Linked DNA regions of Callithrix jacchus. The protein of the gene in region 1 interacts with the protein of each later gene in a pairwise test. Links are inferred from orthologs where the notes say so. Each region holds a gene or a part of one and is shown on either strand. Other genes may lie near its edges.

The links.
Region 2: the proteins of LPXN (region 1) and HOXC9 interact in binary tests that used the Homo sapiens proteins (3 or more experiments, as listed by UniProt). The two-hybrid records come from large-scale screens. The link is inferred for Callithrix jacchus from reciprocal best matches to the Homo sapiens genes LPXN and HOXC9.

Annotation. Positions count from the first base shown.
Region 1 is NC_133511.1:116,038,983-116,043,527, forward strand, and holds the start of LPXN (leupaxin), read right to left. Parts: upstream 2,816-4,545; 5' UTR 2,732-2,815; coding exon 2,719-2,731; intron 1-2,718. UniProt on the Homo sapiens protein: Transcriptional coactivator for androgen receptor (AR) and serum response factor (SRF). Contributes to the regulation of cell adhesion, spreading and cell migration and acts as a negative regulator in integrin-mediated cell adhesion events.
Region 2 is NC_133510.1:65,554,495-65,558,937, forward strand, and holds the start of HOXC9 (homeobox protein Hox-C9), read right to left. Parts: upstream 3,044-4,443; 5' UTR 2,979-3,043; coding exon 2,441-2,978; intron 757-2,440; coding exon 512-756; 3' UTR 1-511. UniProt on the Homo sapiens protein: Sequence-specific transcription factor which is part of a developmental regulatory system that provides cells with specific positional identities on the anterior-posterior axis.

The DNA.
Region 1 (4,545 bases):
AGGCATGGTGGCGCATGCCTGTAATCCCAGCTACTCAGGAGGCTGAGGCAGGAGAATTGCCTGAACCCAGGAGGCGGAGGTTGCGGTGAGCCAAGATCGTGCCATTGCACTCCAGCCTGGGTAACAAGAGCGAAACTCCATCTCAAAAAAAAAAAAAAAGAATACATTAAACTACTTTCTCTACTTTTGCATACTTAAATTTCTTTATAATAGAAGGTTTTTAAAAAGAAGGACAAAGAAAATAAAAAGAAAACTAAGGTAGAAAGAAAACTTTTTGCCTCAGATTTTTACTCCAAATTTGAGAATTTTGAATTTTTTATTCTGCATCTCTCAATTAAGCTAGAGTCGCTTGATTTTCTATTTTCTAAGCTCTGCTCTAACTAGAAGCCAAAGATCCTCCTGAGCTCAAAATAAAAAGCCATTTACAATAAAAGTTATAAGACCACAAAGAGTGGGAAGTTGCCCTCAGAAGCACCAGCTAACCAAAGTTATCAAAACTCTTCTTTCTGGGTTATGAGATGTAGGTTTTTTTCTTCCTGTTTCTTATGAGTGTGCATCAACAGTCTGAGGTTATGCCTTTTGCCAGATTTTGTGATTTGAATATGACTCATTTCAGTATGACAAATACCGGATTCCTGTAGAGTGGGGGGTGGGAGGAGAGGGTACTAGACTGAAGACTCTGTAATTATTCTCTGTGGTCCTTTACCTGTGGAGATGAAATAATATCAATATTATCATGAAACGAGTAAAGTGAGGTCTCTGGGGGTCTCTATGAGTTGTATGGATTTCATTTTGAGGCAGTCTGCTCCTGGTTCCTCTTTATCTATCATGCCTAATGCCTGTGTAATGAGGGCTTAGGTAAAACCTTCTGAGTTACAAGCTGCTAGCCTCTGAGGTACGACTGCAGACTGAAAATATTTGCTCACTTGAGCCAACCTGTCCTAGATGCCATTTCTCTGCCAGCAGGAAGAAAGGTCCACCCCAAGTCTCAAGGGTAGTTACTGGGCAGCTGACAATTTGAAGAAACTACTCAAGTGTAGCCATGAATAGCCTGTGGAGATATAGCCAACTGGATAATCTGTACAAATGTTAGCTTCCAGGCTACTTGCTTGGTACTTTCTGTATTTCTGGACAAGATTTACCTAACATCTAGCCTGCTCAGGAAATGCAAAACAATATAATATAATGTCAGTTAAATCTGAGTCACTTTGTTGGCCACAACACCAGAACTAACAAACTTCTAAAACAGAAGACCATCTTTTTGCTTAGTTTTGGTGTCAGGTGTTCCGGCAGTGACATTAATTAGTTCTTTTTTCTTAGTTTTCTCATCTTAAAAAGAAGTGGATATACCTCTGAAATACCTATTTCAGAGGGTTGCTGCAGACACTAAAATTATCAACATATGTAAAAATGTCTAGTTTTTCTTCAGTCACTAAGTATTAGTTTCCTTTTAAATTATTTGCCATGAAAGCCATTAGGTGTCCCCACTCCCCCTCCCCAACAACAACAAAAACAAAAAAGAAATAAAAAAAGGAAAAGAAAAAAAAAAAGGAAAGGGAAAAAAGGCCCTAGCCCTAGTGTAACTCAAGGAGAAATTCACATTCTTCACTCAGGGAGGATAAGAATTTGGATTCTACCCCAAGTCCAAAATAGAGACTAGCGTAGTATCAAGATAGACTCAACCTCCAAAGCAGTTTGGTATATACTAAACGCTACCTTTTTCTCTCCATTAACATCTCTTCCCTCCTGCTAATTTGCCCTTTATTTTTCCTCTGTTTCTCCAACTTTGAAATCACATGTCAATTTTTTTTAAGACAATGTAACAATAAGCAAGATATTTTTTGTCATTCTTTGCACTTTTGACATACCCCATCCGCAAACACACCCCAAACCAGGACACTGTGGAATTAATACAGCTTGGAGATTGGGTAAAGTTTAGTGACTCAGTGTTAGTTAAGATGCTGGCAACAGATGTTGGCAGAGGCTATGGAATGAGTCCCAAGAATGACAAACATTACACTACTCCAAAGGTTTGAAATCCAGGATCTCTCTGGATGGATAATGCGGCTAAGAGTTCCACTGCTGGTTTTAATTGCCTTGGAGTGGAAGGAGGTATCATATTTTCAGGCCATAGTAATCTCTTACTTTAGAATTCTTCTGAATAAAAAGCTTGGCAACAAAATCACTTGAGTTAGAGTGCTATGCCTTCTTGATTTAAGACGAAAACATGAAACAAATGAAACCACTCTGGCCTTTTTCCAACCTCTACAGATCCCTCATTCTTATACTTCGAGTCCATTTTTTTCTTCCTCATAACACCCCAACTCCTTTTCTGCTCTTTCTTTTCCTCCTCAAATCACATCTCTGCATTGCCTTGCTATTTGGCCACCCTATGATCTCCAGTGACCTTCATGGGGCAAAATGCTCATAATAAAACGACAATTTCAATCACAATCCAGTCCAGAAGTATTTGCCAAGAGTTTAGTCTGCGGTTAGCACCAAACTCTCCATTTTGCCACTGCAAACAGTGAACCCATAGTTCCCCAAAACAATCATAGTTCCTCATGCTTCCCTCTCAGCAGGGCTGAGGACAGAAGTGAAAATAAAATCTTCCATTACTACCCTGGGTCTAGCCAGAAGTATACCCCACTACACATGTAGATGGCAGCCAAGTCTTCACTCCCTCAGAGTTTCTGCTCCGAGAAGCTCCTCACTCACCTAACTCTTCCATTATCCTACATCCAAGATGCTCTTGTCTCACAGGCCGTGAGGAACAGCTTTAGCATGTGCTGAACAACAGGACCACAAAGGAACTGAATGAGACAGCAGAAGGCAGCCTCTATAACCCTTTTTGGTTCCTGTATTTGCTTAGCACTTCCTCTCTTTTGATTTGGTGAGGTTTTTTTTCTTTTCTTTTTTTTTTTTTTCATAGGTTACACAGTTTTATAAATGGGACTGACATAGAAAGGTAGATAGTAAGATTTGAGTTATGGTAGTGCATTGGCCAGGGTGATAGAGATTTAAAATTAATTTTGCAAAATTTGAGCACCTACTCTGTGCCAGGACTCATCTTGGAGTCATGGGAATGGCAGATTCATACTGTGTTTTTTCCAAGTGGAGGTACCCCACTCTAACTGAGCATCTACCTTTTTTTTTTCTGTGAAGCTGGGGAACCATGAAGGCATAGTCTTCTTCTTAAAATTTCCATTCAAATGGATTCCATCAGGTATCCATTCCATTTTGTTGTCTTAATGTACTTATTCAAAAATTATGCTTATCAGCTTTCCAGCACAGATTGTAAATCCTTAAAAGTAAGGCAGCAGTGGATTCATGCTTGGATTCTCGGGGCCTGGCTTACTCGGCAGTTCAAAATGCAAACATCTATGGGGGGCGGTCACAAAGAAGGAAGCCAGGTTTGATACCAGATATTAAACTGCATACATCTCAATTAAGCATAATCCTTGCCTAGATACATTACCTTATAGCAATTTCTCTGGAAAGTGACACTGAGGTTAACTCTTCACCGTTTTTACCACTACGATTTTATTCACCTTTAATGAAACATTTACAAAAAGCGTACTATAAAAAGGAACCATCCTGTTAAATAATTCTGTTAAATAGATTTTATCCCCGTTTTTACCAATGGTGAAATACGTTCATGCAATAGTAACTTGCTAAGATAATTAATTGGTAGCTTTGCTACCATAATCACAGATTTCAAAGTCTGTGATCTTTCCTCTAAAACACAGTGCTTTATTTTTTATTTTTTTTTTAGAGACAAACTCTCACTCTCTCTGTCACCCAGGCTGGTGTGGAATGGTGCCATCATTCATAGCTCAGTGTAACCTCCAACTAGAACGCCTGGACTCAAGCGATCTACCCTTTTCAGCTTCTGGAGTAGCTAGGATGGCAGGTGCATGCCATCACGCCACTAGGTTAGCTTAGGAACTTTATTTTCAAATTAAAAAAAAATTTTTTTTTTTTAGAGAGGGCGGTCTCCCTATGTTGTCCAGGCTGGTCTGGAAGCTCTGGGCTCAAGGGATCCTCCCACTTTTGCATCCCCAAGCGCTGGAATTTCGGGAGTGAGCTACCACATCCAGCCCACTGGGGCCTTTTTTTTTTTTTTTTTTTTGAAATAATTCATTCTCCATTCCACTGTCTGTAAATTTTTTAAAAGGGGATTTCGCCTCTGTATTACTTTGGGCATCCATTGGATGTCAGTACTGTTCCTTCCAAAAGTCTGCTCACTGCAAACTCAATCTGAAAAAATTTCCATTGACACTATGCCAAACAATTATTACAACTGAAAATGACATTAGTCATATGAAAGGACAAAATACTCAGTAGAGAATATAAAACATTTGTCCAAATATGAAGTGGCATCTGAGTCAAAATACTGGAAGGAAAAATGTACTTCAGCACTTGTCCACAGTTTAACTGAATGATTAATATGAAATTTAGAATTGGATCCCCAGATTTTGATTCCATCTTCTTTCTTCTGGGGATTTTAGCCCTGGATGCTTTATTTTCCAGGGGTAAAGAGTG
Region 2 (4,443 bases), on another chromosome or scaffold:
TGCCCCTCAGCTCCTGGACTGGGAATCATTACTATGTATGTGTGTGTGTCTTTTTTTTTTTTTTTTTTTTTTTTTTGTACAAAATCTGCACGCAGAGCGCCCCAGGCCCGTGGAGGGATGGCCTGGACCAAACACGATACAGGGGGAAAAAATAGAAATATAGCGATTCAAGTACTGGCTTCTCTGAAGAAAGGAGGAAAAAAATCACATTTGCGTGTGTCATTTATTTCAGTTGCGCTGGGGAAAGAGAATGCAGCTTCTCTCCCTGCCTCCTCCTCGATGGGTAGAACTAACTCTAAAACACCAATATCTCAACACTGAACCCTCCCAAATCGCAAGAGTTTTCTTTTCCCCTTCCTTTTTTTTTTTTTTTTTTTTCCTTTTTAAGCTGATTGGCTTTTCTCTATCTTGCTCTTTCCATTTCTTTTTCGTCTCTCTCCCGCCTGGGTTGGGGTATTTTGCGGGGTTTTGTTTTTCCCTGGCTGTGCTGAGGCAGCAGGCTGGGCAGGGTTTAGGACTGCTCCTTGTCGGTTTTTTCTTTATTCATCTTTTTCATCTTCATCCTTCGGTTCTGAAACCAGATTTTGACCTGCCGCTCAGTGAGATTGAGAACCCGGGCCACCTCATACCGACGGTCCCTGGTTAAATACATATTGAAGAGAAACTCCTTCTCCAGTTCCAGCGTCTGGTACTTGGTATAGGGGCAGCGCTTCTTCCTCGTGGAGCGGGCGTGAATCCAGTTGGCCACGGGGTTGCCTGGAGGGCCAAACACAAGCAGGGGTCAGTGGGGCCCCTTTCCAGCCCAGGACTTCTGCTGCTGTACCCCCAGACTTAACCAGGCTCCCCAAACGCAACAACTGAACCTGAATTTGGACACATTTTGCTTTAGGAATTTTCCTCCTTCCTCGTTTTGCATTCTGTCCCCTCCTCAGCTTCCCCTTTTTCAGTTTCCAGCACCTAAAACTGTAGGAAATCCGAAGCTATCAAAGCCCCTCCAGTCTGGTCCTCAGCTTCAAGAGTAGTAATTTGAGAATATCCTCATAAAAAGTCCAAATTCCCAACCGTTTCATAGGCCCATAAACGCTTCTCTCTTGCTTTTTATTTTTATAGCAAGGTCTCTCTCCTCCCCACCTCCCTCCTCCTCTGCCCCCTCCCATCTTCCCAGCCCACGACCAAGTCCTGAAATTTTAGCAGTTCTGCTTCCTGACCCTGAGAGTCCCTAAGCCCCTCACCACCCTCTGCAGCACCCTCCTCCTGCTCGGAGTTCAACCCTGCTGAGGCGAATTCTCAGGGTGATGCTGACAAGGGAAGAGTCTTTCTCCTCTCCCCAGAGAGCTGCTGGCCTTGGGGACAGGCTCCCCTATATCTTAGTTTTCCTGTTTGGCCTCCAGTGCCCCCTCCTGCCAGCCCCAGGACAGGCTCTGCAGGAGCCAAGCCTCCAATTTCAGGTTTATGGGAGTTGCTGAGGGCAGGCAGGGAAGCCTTCAGAGGGGTATAATTAGGCCCTGGCCCCTTATCGGGCTGGAGGAAAAGATTTCCTGCAGCCCCCTCCTGGGACTCCCCGAGACACTTCCTCACACCCAGGGGACTGCACCCCCTCTCCTGCTGTTTCTCCTTCTTTCCCCTTTTTCTGGCCCTGCAGCTCCCACCTGCCCCCAACCTGCCTCCTGTGCAACCCTCAGAAGGTGCCTGTCTCCCTGATTGGAGTGTGTGTGTGTGTGTGAATTTTCCAATCTGGGGAGATGCCCACTCCTCATCCCTGACCCCCATTCTCAACCCTTCCCCTCCAAGACCCTCAGAAGAGGGTTCTCAAGTTTAAGGAGACTCAGACCTCACTTTTGTCCCCACTTCTCTCTGAAAGTCCTGGTCTCTCCAAGTTCCCAGGCTTCGAAATGCTCCAGACCCCTCACCCAGTGCTCCTGGGGGAGAAGTCCATGGACCTTCTGTTTTATAACTCTCTAGTGGGGTGACGACCTCCATGCTAACTGGGAAGCAGGGGTACTTCTTTTCGCTGGGGGTATCTCCTCTGTGCCCCCAGTGTCCTCCTCACCTCTTCCCCATCCCATCTCAAATCAGAAACTGAACCTCGCCCCCAGCCCCATTCCCTGGCCCTGCCTGCATTTCTTCGAAAGTGGTGACTGAGCCAAAAAGCCTGGGCTGGGAAGAGGGGGCAGGGGTCTCTCATCAAAGCCAGCTCCTGAGAGAGGAGCTCCCCTCGGCCCTCTCCCAACCTGTCTCCCTGGGCCCCCTTCTCAGACCTTCCTGCTCCTGAAAGATCCCCAAGGTAATTCGCTTTTATTGAGTCCTCGCCCCCTCGCCCTCGCCCTCGCCCCTCTCCCGCGCTCCCTGCACGTTTCGGGAGGGCTGTAATCCGGCTGCCCCCGCCCGTCCTCCCCTCCCCTCCCGCACTGGTTGTAAAGGAAAATTGCTCCCAACTTACTGGGGTCCAGGTCGGCCTTCTCCTCTTTGTGCTTGCTGCCGGCGAGCGCGTCCGCCTCGGGCGAGGGCAGTGTCTGCGGCGCGCGGTCGCGCAGCTCCCCGGGCGAGCCGTACATGTAGTCCGGGTAGCTGCGGCCGTCGCCCGGGCCGCAGTCCGCGCGGCGCCCGGGGTAGGCGTCCGGCTTCAGGGCGTAGTGACGGCCCCCGGCAGGGAAGCTGGGGAAGGAAACGGCGCCGGACAGCGGCTCGAGCCAAGTCCGCATGTAGCGCGTGTCGGCGCCGAGGTGGGGCTGTGGGCCGTACGGGTGATATACCACGGACGACTGCGAGGGCACTGGCGCCCACGACGTGCTGAACACTGCCGGCTTGGGCGCGAAGCTACAGGACGGAAAATCGCTACAGTCCGGCACCAAACCGCTGGGTCTGGCGGCGGCGGGGTGAGCCCCCGTGGCCGGAAACCTGGACGCTAGGAGGTCTTCATTGTCGTGAGAGATGAGCGAGTCCACGTAATAGTTACTGATGGGCCCCGTCGCCGACATCGTAACGGGGTTTTACATACATAAGATTATTGTATGAACTGTATATGTACTTTTTATCTGCTCACAGAACAATCAAGGCAGGTAATTATTTTTCCAGCCTTTTCCCCGCAGCTCATTGGCTCCCCGGCCCCCACGTGATCGTATTTACCCAAAAATACGGCGCGGATCAATGCGCAGGGGCTTTTTTTTTCCTTGGTTTTTTTTCCCCCTCTCCCACCCCCTTCTCTCCGCTGTTCCCCGCGACCTGCGATTTCCTGGGGGTCCGGAACTCTGGACCCAAGGCACCGGTCACCCCCTCAGGACGGCTCGTAGCTCATCTGGGAAGCCCCTGTGCCCATGCCCACCCATAAGCAGTTGGCCTCCCCCAACCATGAGGATTTTTAAATGGGGTGAAAATGCCCGTCCCCGAAGCCAGGGTTCCCGGACCCCAGGGCCGAGCTGGGCGCTGGAGCCCCGCAGGGGCGGGGAGGCCGACCGAGGTAGGTGGAGGAACTATTTCTTGACGTAATCCGTCTCTGTCGGTCCCGACGCTCCCGCAGTGTCTGCGCGAGCCGAGATCAGCGATTGTCAGTTCGGAACGTGGCTTTTAAAAATGCGTTTTTAAATAGTGTGTATGTATGTATTTCTTTCAGGAGCAGCGGTAGCGGTGAGGGAGGGAGGGTGGGAGGGGACTAGGGAAGCTGGGATGGAGGGAGGGAAGGAGGGAAGGGGAGCGTTCTTCTGCCACTGGCCAACTCAGCCCCCCAAATCTGGGGAAGGGGAAGCCTGGGGAAGGTGGTTCCTGGGTGGGAGGGGTAGAACCTCAGGATCTCATACACCTTTACAGCAGCCTCAGAAGTCTTCTCCTTGCTTTGGCACAGATATACAGGCGCCTGTATTTTAAACTTATTGTCTGTATTTATCTTTCTTTGCCAGCTTGAAGAAGTGGAGGAGAGATCTACACAACTTAAGTGGGGTGTCCCCACCCCATCTTCCTGCTCAGCCTCCTTCGCCCCCAGCTCCACCTCTGCGACACTTCCCCTACCCCCACCCCCCAAAAAAGAAGTCACTCCCGGGCTCTGTCTACAGAGAGCCAGGGTGAGAGCGGGCAAGGCGAGAGAGCGACCTCGGTCGTGGGCAAGTAGCTTGTTTTTACGTCCTTCAATAAAATTTTTATGAGGATCATTTGATTGTTCATAAATGTGTCTTTCATTAAATAAAATTGTAGGCTGTTTTTGGAACGGGAAAAAAGCAACGGAGGGACGGGAGAAAGCAATTTCTTTGGGGTCGGATGCAGGAATTCCAGAGGGGGCAGTGTGATTGTAGAGGAATATCAGACAACTTGGATTCCTCCCCCCAATAAGTTGGTTGCTACCCTCCTCCTTCAACTGGGGATTTGTGCCCAGCCCTCTGCTTTCCATCAGACTGTCCCATGGTGGTGTAGTAAAGGGGGGCTTTAGCCAAGCAGGAAATCCTCAGTGTGGGT